Cricetulus griseus: one gene and its partner. The protein of the gene in region 1 purifies or fractionates together with the protein of each later gene. This does not show direct contact. Links are inferred from orthologs where the notes say so. Each region holds a gene or a part of one and is shown on either strand. Other genes may lie near its edges.

What was found. Proteins that work in one complex are often made in the same cells at the same time.
Region 2: the proteins of Dhx15 (region 1) and Snrpa1 fractionate together in Homo sapiens (co-fractionation; 3 studies listed by BioGRID and IntAct, with this or other methods). This does not show direct contact. The link is inferred for Cricetulus griseus from reciprocal best matches to the Homo sapiens genes DHX15 and SNRPA1.

The regions. Positions count from the first base shown.
Region 1 is NW_023276807.1:120,420,279-120,426,397, reverse strand, and holds part of Dhx15 (pre-mRNA-splicing factor ATP-dependent RNA helicase DHX15), read left to right. Parts: intron 1-2,899; coding exon 2,900-3,059; intron 3,060-4,225; coding exon 4,226-4,444; intron 4,445-6,119.
Region 2 is NC_048596.1:131,202,394-131,207,955, reverse strand, and holds the end of Snrpa1 (U2 small nuclear ribonucleoprotein A'), read left to right. Parts: intron 1-156; coding exon 157-236; intron 237-605; coding exon 606-681; intron 682-1,282; coding exon 1,283-1,376; intron 1,377-3,454; coding exon 3,455-3,513; 3' UTR 3,514-3,727; downstream 3,728-5,562. UniProt on the Homo sapiens protein: Involved in pre-mRNA splicing as component of the spliceosome. Associated with sn-RNP U2, where it contributes to the binding of stem loop IV of U2 snRNA.

The DNA.
Region 1 (6,119 bases):
TAATTCTGAAACAGACTGAATATACTAAATCTACGTTCCATAGCAAAGCTGTGTATTCAGTCTGTTGAGGTATCTGGGCTAAGAATGAATATATATGTATCACAGAGGAGGTTTGATACTTCCTGGATTTTGCTTTGTTTGCTTTATTAGAACATTAAGGTATTTTAAATAAATTTCTTTTAGATGATCATATACATATACATTGTAGCCCACTGATTCTCAACCTGTGGGTTATGACCCCTTTAGGGGGTCTCTCATCATATATTCTCCATATCAGATATTTATATTACAATTCATAACATTAGCAAAGTTACAGTTATGAAATAGTCACAAAAATAATTTTATGGCTACATTAAAGGATTGCAGCATAAGGAAGGTTGAGAACTACTGCTGTAGCCATTAACGTGATATACTGTTGTGTTTTTCAACCATGCCAGATTGATCTTGTGAAAATTATCAAGAAATATTTGTTGATATCCTGAGCTATCTTGAATTAGTAGTGATGTTAATTTTTACATTGTTAGGATGAAAACTTGCTTCTATAACAAGTTATTTAGGAGATTTTCATAAATTTTAAAATCATTTTGGGTGACCTGTTGATAACAGAAGTAGTTGTTTAATTTATTGACTGTGAGTATATATGCAGACACTGAGATTTATCTATCTAAACTCAGCTTGTTGGAATGCCTATAACAGCCAGGGATTATAATAGGCTGTTTGTAAAGAGATCTTAATATTAGACAACAGTCTTATCTTTTTGTAAAACTGTTTATTCATATTGGCTAAACTTGTTTGAAGTTTTTATTTGATGGTATAAGTGTTTGAGTTAGCACAGCAGAAGTCTATGTTTTTAATATAGATAATCTTAGGGTAAAGTTGAACTGTCTGTTTGGGACAATCTCTATTATGGAACTGTTTTCCGTTAATGAAGCCATTTTTTCTTTGTTCTCTGTGTTACTGTTATCACCCAGAAATTCTATAGCTAAAGGTGGTATGGTAAGGAATATAAAAGAAATTGACACGCTTTTGCATTTGTGAAAATTGAAAATAATCCAGAAAAAAAATTGTTATCTGTATTAAACTTGGACACTTGCTTGCCATTCCTTAAAGAATACAACTTTATGTAACATTTGCATTCTATTATGTGTTGTATATCTAGAAAATAAAATATAGGAAAGTATTCAGAGGTTATATGTAAATCTAGGCTAATTTATATAAGACTTCAAAATCCATAGCTTTTGGTGTCTGCTTAGTATTCTAAAACCAATATTCCAAGGTTACCATATTCAAAAGATCATGTCTTTCAGAAATGTTGATTCTTTATAAATTTAAATAAATTGCTTTCTAGAAGCTTGTTTAAGTAGGCATATTAATTTGGGTGTATTCCTTTTCTTTGCCTTGTCCACATACCAGACAACATAAACGAGAAAGCTTATTTTGCCTTACCTTTTAAGAAGGGATGGGGATCATCATGAAGAGTGTTTGGTAGTCAGAAGTGTGAGACAGTTCTATCTGTGGTGAAGAAGTACAAGTAAAGTTCAGGTGGTGTTTCGATTACAGGACATGAGCCTGTGGCATAATGACACCAACATCTAGAGTGAATCTTTCCCTCTCACTTTAAAGTTTCTAGAAACACCTTTAAAGAAACATACAGACGTTTTTCCATTAGCACTCATTAGTTTGGGGTAACTTAAATACAGTTTATTGGTCACTCTCCTATGCTATTTGTATATATTAATTGAAAATTACTTAAGCCAGGTCAGTATTCTTGGCACTGGCTTTTTGTTTATTTTACTTGGTTTTAATTTATTAAATAATTATGATTGGAATACTGTACAAGTTAGAGATTTAATAATATGCCTGTTTTGTAACTTCCTTATAAATTGAGGTACATTTTAGTATTAGTTGAAGTCTTGAAATTGGTAGTTTAGAAGTTGTCATTTCCCGAATATTTGATACTGATCTAGTTTTGTATATTGTAACTTCAAATACACTAAATTTTTGGAAATAACAGACTGAATTAATCTAATAATTAAAGTGATTTCAGAAATATAGGGTTTCCTATTGAAAGACTAGCAACTGATAGTTTACAAAGGCGTAGAAGCAGCACTGAGGTATTATAAGTAGGTATTTATTTGAACAAATATTGTTGAGACAAGAACTAGTGCTTTCAAGTTCCCCTAAAAGTTAAAACTAGAATTTTGTTGCATCTAAGGTACTTAATCACAATTACTTGGTCACTGAATGGCCTGGCTCATGTCAGTAACTCAACTGAAAACAACAATTGACAAATGCCCTCAAAGAGATGAAAAATTTCTGGACATCTAGGAACCAGTGTGGCTTATTAGGTGCTGTGCTAGATTGTTATGACATCCACTGTTTGACAGTGATTTTTCTTTCATGTACTTAAAAGTAAATTCTTGGTAGTTGATTCCAGAACTGGTGGTGGTTTATTTTTAAAAGAACATTAAAGAAACACAAACTATATAAATAGGGACCAGGTGTTGACTCTTGCCAGCACTCAAGAGGCCCAGGCAAGCCAGTGCTATATAGGAAGTCCTTGTATGAAATTTGACTCACATGTATGTAGTGAACGTGTACTTCTTTGCTGCCAAATATTTTTAATACATTTAGAATTCCTCTTAGATGAAATAAAGAGAGGGGTTCACTAATTAGGTTTTAGCATTTGTATGGGTCATTCATTGTATGTCACAATCAGCAGTTGTGTTCTGTTTCTCAGTATATTATAGTATTGTGTAAGATTTTATGATAGTTAACTTTCATGTACTCATAAAACTGTTCTTGAAGCTTAATTTTTGCAGTTGTTAACTTAGGTTAGGATGGTTAGTTTTAAAATAACATAGCTGAAACTTCATCAATGCTGTCTTTATCATTATAGGTATATGACTGACGGTATGCTGCTGCGTGAAGCTATGAACGATCCCCTTCTGGAGCGTTATGGTGTAATAATTCTTGATGAGGCTCATGAAAGAACATTGGCTACAGATATTCTCATGGGTGTTTTGAAGGAAGTTGTAAGACAGAGATCAGATTTAAAGGTGAAGAAGTGATTTTCTTTTTTTCTTTTTTTTTTTGGGGGGGGTTGTTTTTGTGTGCCTGCATGCCTGTAGGAATGTGTACATGAGTGCAAGGCCAAAGGTATTGGATTCCCTAATATAATAGGGTGGGAGTAACTACAGGGCCATCAGGCCCTAAGAAACAGTTTTTATGTTGAGTGTTGTGGCATCTTCATGTAATCCCCAGGCCAGGGAAGTGGATATGGGAAGATTGTGGGCCTTGGTGGCCAGCCAGCCTGAAGACTTCTATGTACTTTAGATTTTCAAAATAGGCTGTGCTCATTAAAAATAATGTAGGACAAATAAGCAAAATTTTATCTGGTCTTACTGGGTTTTGGGTGTGTCTTACCCCCTTACGTAGATAGGATTTATGAGAAGATATCGATTACTTGCCAGATAGTCATATATTTTAAAATATAAATAGGTAACAGTTTATTCCTTTCTGTATTTTATCATCTTTTTTTTTGTTTGTTTGGTTTTTTTTGTTTGTTTGAGACAGTTTATTGCTTTGGAGCCAGTGTAGATCATGTTGGTTTCAAACTCACAAGAGATCCATCCACCTGCCTCTGCCTCCCAAATGCTGGGATTAAAGGTGTATGCCACCAACACCCTCCTAGTTGTTGTTTTTGAGGTACAGCTGTCTTTTTGTTTCCCGGTCTTGTCCTGGAATTGGCTCTGTATATAGACCAGACTGTTCTTGAACTCACAGAGATCCGCCTGCCTCTGCTTCCCGAGTCCTGCTTATTTTTTTTAAAAGCAGGGTTTCACTATAAACCCTGGCTGTCTCTGAACCCACACAGTGATCTATCTACCTTCTTCAGTGTCTTGAGTGTTAGGATGTAAGGTGTGTGCTGAATGTTTTCTTTATCTTTAAGGACTGTCTTTTGGGGAGGTGGTGGGTAGGTAGGTGAGACAGAATCTTCTATATTATTGGCTGTCTGGAATTTACTATGTAGACCAGGTTGGCCTCAACTCCACAGATAAGCCTGCTCATGTCTCCTTAGTGCTGGGATTAAAGATGGCATATACCACCACACCCAGCCTTAAAGGCTGGCTGTCTTTAAAGTAATGACTTTTTTCCCTTTGAGATTATGTAAAAATCTTTAAAGATAAAACTTCAAAAGTAATTTGCTGTTTTTCTCTTACAGGTTATAGTTATGAGTGCTACCCTAGATGCTGGGAAATTCCAGATTTACTTTGATAATTGCCCTCTCTTAACTATTCCTGGCCGAACACATCCTGTTGAGATTTTTTATACTCCAGAACCAGAGAGAGATTATCTTGAAGCAGCCATTCGAACTGTTATCCAGATACATATGTGTGAAGAGGAAGAAGGAGACCTTCTCCTTTTTTTGACTGGTCAAGAGGTATCATCATTTGCTTTATATAGTTTTTGTTCAGAAATTTCTATTAGCCAGCAACTCTAAACTTACATGTCAAAGGCTGGCCATATTTTTCCCACCGTACAACGTAATTGAGTGTATACCATGTTTAACCACCCTTTTCTGTATACTTATATTTAAAGGGTTGCTTATTGAAGAAAAATATACAATTGAAATGGTAGTTGATTGTACTTTAAATATTTGGGTGCCTTTTACAGTTAAAGGTTTGAGTCTTGTTCTAGAAATGTCTTTCTCAAGTATGATCAGTAGATTTCTGGTCTGGAGGAAGAGAATTTGTTTATGAAGTTCTTGTTTCTGTTCAGTGTTTTTTGAAATAAGTGAAGTTTGAGGAGGAAATACAAGAGTTTGCATTGCCTTTCAAGCTCTTGAGGTCATTTAAGAGGAGTGCTTATAGTTCCAAAAGATCCCTACTAAGATATACAATGACAACTAAACAGGTTGTGGAAAATTGTTCTAGTTTTATGCTGCACCAAAACATTTTTATTGTGTCCAGATCCTATAGAACTATTAGCCAGATATTTTAGCAAATGCCAAATTCAGTTGAGAGTTGTAAATTTTTGATGATTTTTTTTTTAAATCCTGTAATTGTCTATATGATTTGTGCCTTTGAAGTATGACTTTTCATCCTAAATACTATTTTATGTTGTGAGTTGGAAAATTTGTGTTAGTGCCTGTGCATTGTAGGACATTTATCAGCATCTCAGCCTTTCCTTATTAGGTCCATGCAGCTATACTTTGTGAGGGGTAGCCAGCAAAGACATATGTAGATGTTGCCAAATGTCTTGGGAAAGGGGGATTGTAAATTCTTTCCCTGTAGAGATTCACCCTTAATTCTTTTGTGAGCTAAGTTGTGTTGAAAGTGCAGTTGTCTGGGTAAAGTGTCCCTCTTTTGATACTACTCATCCTTTTTTATGCAGTTAAAGTGGAAATTTTCCATAAAGCTTCTGCAAAACTTACTGCTTTTCAAATGGCATGTAAACAGCTGTTGATGCTCATTTTGCCCCTTTGAGAAAGTGTAAGAATTGTGTCCACAGTTTCTCACTTCTGTTATGATAAATCTTTCCGCCAAAAACCGCCTGAGCCCCACCGCCACGTGTGAGCTTTACGCCAGCCACCTGCCTGAGTTAGGCCCAAATGAATACACATTGTATTAGGTACAATGCTGCTTGGCCAATGACTAGGATTCCTCATCTATTAACTCAGTCTTAATTATTATAAATCTATATATTTTGTAAGACTTATCTTATCGGACGCCTTATTGGCATCCCTCCTTTTCGGTGGATCACATTGTGCCGCTGGAGCAGGAGCTGAGGGGAAAATATAGATCCTTCCTGTTTCTCTTTCGCTTAAATATGAGTCTCCTTGCTATGTCACTTCCTGCCTTGATCACCACTTCGCTACTACATTTCCCAGAATCCTCTTCTACTTCTAGTCCCGTCTAACTTGCTCTCTCATTGGCCAGTATTTATCTAACAATCAATAAGATAAACATACACAGAAGTACATTCCCCATCACACTTCCTCTTGGCTTAAATATGCTCCAACAATTAGACCTGTTGAATACGTAGTATTGGAAGTTTCTGGTGGAAAGAACCAGAATGGGGAGAACTAGAAGGATCTTTTTCTGTGCAGTTCATTT
Region 2 (5,562 bases), on another chromosome or scaffold:
AAGGTTGGACCACTGTGTCTCCTAATTTAAAGTTGGCTTTTGTTTTTACCAACCCAGAATACTTCAGGAGAATTCTCTCCCATGTTTTCTAAGGAATGCATCTAAATGCATGTGGTATTCCTTTTTTGATTAACTCTGTGTGTGGTGTCGCTGTAGGAGCGTCAGGAAGCAGAGAAAATGTTCAAGGGCAAACGGGGTGCACAGCTTGCAAAGGATATTGCCAGGAGAAGCAAAACGTAAGATACGGATATCCAACTTAACTCTACTTCACCTTCAGAAACACTATCTGTCTGGCAGTTTGCCTCCTACAAAATTAAACCCAAAACTGGTTAGTGTGGTATTACATTTGAATGATGGTGTACATCTTGGGAAATTTCTACCAGGTTAGCAGAGCATATATTTCGGTTTACCATCTTAATGTGGTGTTCATCCTGCTTTCTCTATTGGAAGATGGATTGGGTGGTGTTTCTGAAGGAGAGAGTGCTTGTATCAGTTTGTTAACAAAGATAAGATACTACACTGGTTGAATTACTTTCAAATCTTTTGAAAGTAAGAGAAGCAGCCTGCACTAGTCAGAGTGTAACAATTATATTCTCCCTCCCAAGTTTTAATCCAGGTGCTGGTTTGCCAACTGACAAAAAGAAAGGTGGGCCATCTGCAGGGGATGTAGAAGCAATCAAGGTAAGGATATGTATGTTTGGGTTATCAGACTGGAGAGAGCAGAGAGGTGGGGCCAGGGCAGTGGTGTGTCCTAGTGCTAAACATCGTAGATCCCATTATCTCATAGTTGTGAGGACTCTGCTATTTCTAGGCCCAGAAAGGCTACCTTAAAGATACTATTTGACCAAATTTTGACTTGAACTAATTGCATGAACTAATTGAAGGCATCTATGTTTATCTCTTTCACCCAGGATACATTTACTTCTTGGAGCAGTTAGTTACTTTGTTGTTCAGTCTTAGTTTCTCTGCTTCCCAAGATTTGCTGGCTGACAAATCCTGTTGAAGTATCTGTAGAAAATCCAAAAGTCTCCAGTAACAGAATTCCAAATAGATACTTAACTTGAATTTTAGGGCCCTTGGAATGATTGGTTCTTCTCCTTTGTAAGAGCCCGAATCCCTTCCTAAATGTTGGCGTGTTTTCTAAGTTGATTTTTCTTGCGCCAGTGAAGTTCTTCTCCCAGACAGTTGTGTGGTTGATTTTCTAGGGGAAAGTTGCTAGGAATTTCTGTAGTGTCTTTTCGGTGGTTGTAATCATCCATCTCCCTTTTCCTGTGCTTTCCAGAATGCTATAGCAAACGCATCAACGCTGGCTGAGGTTGAGAGGCTGAAGGGCTTGCTGCAGTCCGGCCAGATACCTGGCAGAGAGCGCAGATCAGGTCAGAAAACTATTCTGTGTGCACTTCCAAAACATCACACTTGGAATGACTACAGAGGAATACCTGTCTGGCATGATCACACAGGCCTGGAATCCCTATATTTGGGAGGATGAGGCAGGAGGATCAGGAGTTGAAGGTCATACTTGGCTACAAAATAAGGTTGAGACCAGCTTGGGCTACAGGCAACCCTTTTCTCAAAAAAAAAAAAAAAAGAGGAAAGGAAAAATAGGAAGGAAAGAAGTAGGGAGTGGGGGCCAATAAAGTTAGGCCATTGGGATATTTATGAGGTCTTTACAAGTTGTAGCAAAACATTCTACAACATGGAAAGAACAAAGTTCTAGAGATGATTGTGAACTTCTAAGTCACATCCTATATAATGGGCATCTTGGTGAACTGATATTCCATATACAGTCATCCCATAAAGTAACAGCTTAAAAATTGCTCTGCCTGGTGTTTTTACTATATGTTGTCTATGTGTAGATGCACAGCTACTTACCTTTGTTTTACAGTTGTCTACATTGAGAACAGTGACACGTTGTCTAGGTTTATAATGTCTTACCAGATAGGTAGTTTAATAGCTTTTACCGTCTAGTTTGTGTAAGTATGCTCTCATGTTCATCTTCACACACACACACACACAAATGAAGTCTCCAGTGATAAAATTCCTGGAGCAGAGATCCCTGTAAATTAGTGGTAATTTAGTGGTTAATGGAACTGGCTACACTGAGTCTAAGCAGTACTGTCCTTGGGCAAGTTTCTTTGTCTTAGGTGAGTATTTGCATCTTTAATATTAAGATAAGTACTGACATCAAAAGGTTTGGGGGAGGATTGTGATAATTACACTTAGCACAGGGCAAGTTTTGGGTAGGTGTTAACTAGTGTAATGTTTGAATGCCAAGTTTGTCAGCAATTTGAGCATTAGAGGTACATTATTCAAATAAAGTAAATACATAGTACAAATTTTGGTATGAGTATCCCTGGGAATCACTACCACGACAGCTTTTCAAGGATCATTGTCTTTGAGCTGTTTTGTTTGTTAGTTTTGTGGCCCATTTGTTTAGCCATGGTTGCTTTCGTTAACATGGGGCAGGGGTGTTTACTGGAGCAAGGGCAACTTACAGTGACTACACTACTGAAGAAAGTGACTTCCTACCTCAGCAGCTGTTCACTGCCAGTAGCTCCTCAGGAAGAGGATATAAGGTATTTTTAAGATCAGTGCTGTTATGTGGTCCTTGGGCCCCTGGGGACATGCAAGGTAAATTATTTCTGTAATAACTCCCAAGATGCACTGGGAGGCCAAGAGCGGGTTTTATTTTCCAGCAAGGAGGTCCAGTGATGGTACTTGCTGTGTTCTCCAGTAAAATTCATATCAAATCCACTCACTGTCCTTGATGAAGAAATAGAAATGGTTTTCTTTAGAACTAAATTTAAGTGCCTGAGCAATCCCCCGCAGCTGACAGTGTTTATTACCAATGATAAAATTGCAGATTTTAAGCAAAAATTAAGGTTTAGAAAATTTAGGCTGGGGATGTAAGTCTGGTAGAACACTGCCTAACACACATGAGACCATGGCTTCAAGCTTCACCATTACTAGAAAGACAATGTAGGTCCACTGGTAAAATGTTGACATCTTCCTAGTACTTACGAACATTTCCGGGGAAATGAGTATAAGGTGTGTGCTACCACACCTGGCATTTTTGTTTTGTTTCTGTTTTTAAGAATACATTGGCCAAAAAAAAAAAAAAAATAGTTTTGTTTTTTTGAGGCAGGGTTTCTCTATGTAGCCCTGGCTGTCTTGGGACTCACTCTGTAGACCAGGCTGGCCTCAACTCTGCCTCCTGAGTTGTGGGATTGAAGGTGTGCTACTACCACCCAGCAACCAAAAATCTTAAAAAAAAGAAAGAAAGAAAGAAAGAAAGAAAGAAAGAAAGAAAGAAAGAAAAGAAAAGCTACCACAGATTGTGGAACACAGTTAAAAACAGTTGGTGTGTTCGTTCACCTTTTTAAAAAATTAATGTGTATGTGTCTGATGAGTGGACAAAATTGACACGACTTCTGGTTTTGTGGGTTTTTTTCAGGGCCAAGTGATGATGGTGAAGAAGAGCTGGAAGAAGACACAGTCACAAATGGGTCCTGAGCTCTGTGGCAGATGGTCTAATAGGCTGTCTAGGGACAAGTCTTGCTTTTTGAGCATGGAGTAACAGCCTTGCTTGTATCAGCAACATGGAATTTGTCAGCATTGCTGAATGTTCAGAACTACTGCTGGTAATTTTTTTAATATGTACCTTGGAATCTAAATGCCAGTTTTCTACAAATGGTAAAATAAAGGCCACTTTCTTGCTGCCAAATTATCTGTTGTTATGTTAGCTGTGAAGTATAAGGATATATTTAAGATGGACGTTGGCGAGTGTCTTAGTTAGGGTTTCTATTGCTGCAAAGAAACACCACGACCATAAAGCAAGTTGGGGAGAAAAGGGTTTGTCTTACACTTCCATATCACTGTCCATCATTGAAGGAAGTCAGGACAGGAATTCAAACAGGGCAGGAATCTGGAGGCAGGAGCTGATGCAGAGGCCATGGTGCTGTTTACTGGCTTCCCAGGAGGACCAGCAGCCCAGGGATGGCACCACCCATCTTGGGCTGGGCCCTCCCCCATTGATCACTTACTGAGAAAATGCCTTACAGCTGGAACTCATGGCTGTATCCTATCTGATGACTCTAGCTTGTGTCAAGTTGACTCATAAAACTAGCCAGTACAGGGAGGATGGTGTTTCTGAATAAACATTACTTCTGACTATGAAGTGTTACAGATTCTTTATAAAGACAAGGAGGCTTAAGACTAGACAAATAGGTATATCCTTTGACCTTTTTAATTAAACACACAGGAGTATCTAACAAATTTTAAATGATTTGAAAAATCCTAAGTAGGAATTGATGCTACAACATAAGCAAAATAGTCTTCCAGCCTGTGGGGACAGAGGCTTGGGGTTGTGGCTTCTCTGTGGGGCACACTTCTCTTAGCATCTAGCTATCTTAATTATATTCCTCATCTAGGAAAGAGTTTTCTTTTATGGTTAAATATTAGTGCCTTGATTTCCTATTCTGCCTTGTTCCCTTGAGAGCAATGTCTCTCTCTGAGCCTGGAACGAGGCTGTCTGCCAGCCAGTTCCAACAGTCCTTGTCTCCACCCAACAAGGCTTGTGGGCATGCATTTGGACAGACCACTTTTTACCTGGGTGGTGGGGATTTGAACACAAGTACTCAAGCTTGCATAGCAAGCATTCTTGCCCACTGAACTATCTTCCCAGCCCCTGGTTACAGTTTTCCAAGCTCCTTTGGTAATTCTGAATATGACAAGCATATTAAATAGTCTCTAGATGCTTTTCATTGATGACTGATAACTGATCTTGTGAGGCATATACCAGATACCTGAGATACAGTGGAACTGCTCCCAATGGTCTTGCTGGGGTGACTGGCCAAACAGTGGCTTCTGCTGAGCCCCAGACTTAAATTTAGTTTCCTCCCATGTTGGATTGGAGTCTGGTTTGCAGTATCCTCAGTGAGGCTGGCTGTACTGCTCCCATAGTCCTTCTGTTCATGTACCAGCTCCTGTTGCTGCTAAGACAGGTGCTTCCCTCTTTTGGCTGGGTCTGTGGCTTGATGGCAGTCGTGCTAAGACTGCAAGACCCCTAGCACCAAATAAAAAGCCAAATTCCTATTTTCCATAGCTTCATTGAGTCCTTTTTATGGATGAGACTTGGTCAACAGTCCCAGTGATGACAAGCTGGTGTCCTGGGGTACCTTTTTCTTTTTCTTTCTTTTTTTTTCCCCCTCCGGTTTTTTAAGGCATGGTTTCCCTATAGCTTTGGAGCCTGTCCTGTAAAACAGACTAGGCTGACCTCGAACTCATAGAGATCTGCCTATCTCTGCCTCTGAGCGCTGGGAATAAAGGCATGCACCACCAGCAGCCTGGGGTAACTTGTAATTGCAAATTTTTTAATTAAATGTAGCTTAAGTTTGGAACCCAGGCCTGGGCAGCACTTCAGCATTTGAAAATGATGGAGGCTGCTGTGTATCTGGACTGAACAGAACTGTGTTTAGTATTTGAGGTTGTGGGAAGAAAACAAGCAAAACCAGCACACCATTGCATCATGTGCCGTTGTCCTGATCAAGGACTAAGCTGGCT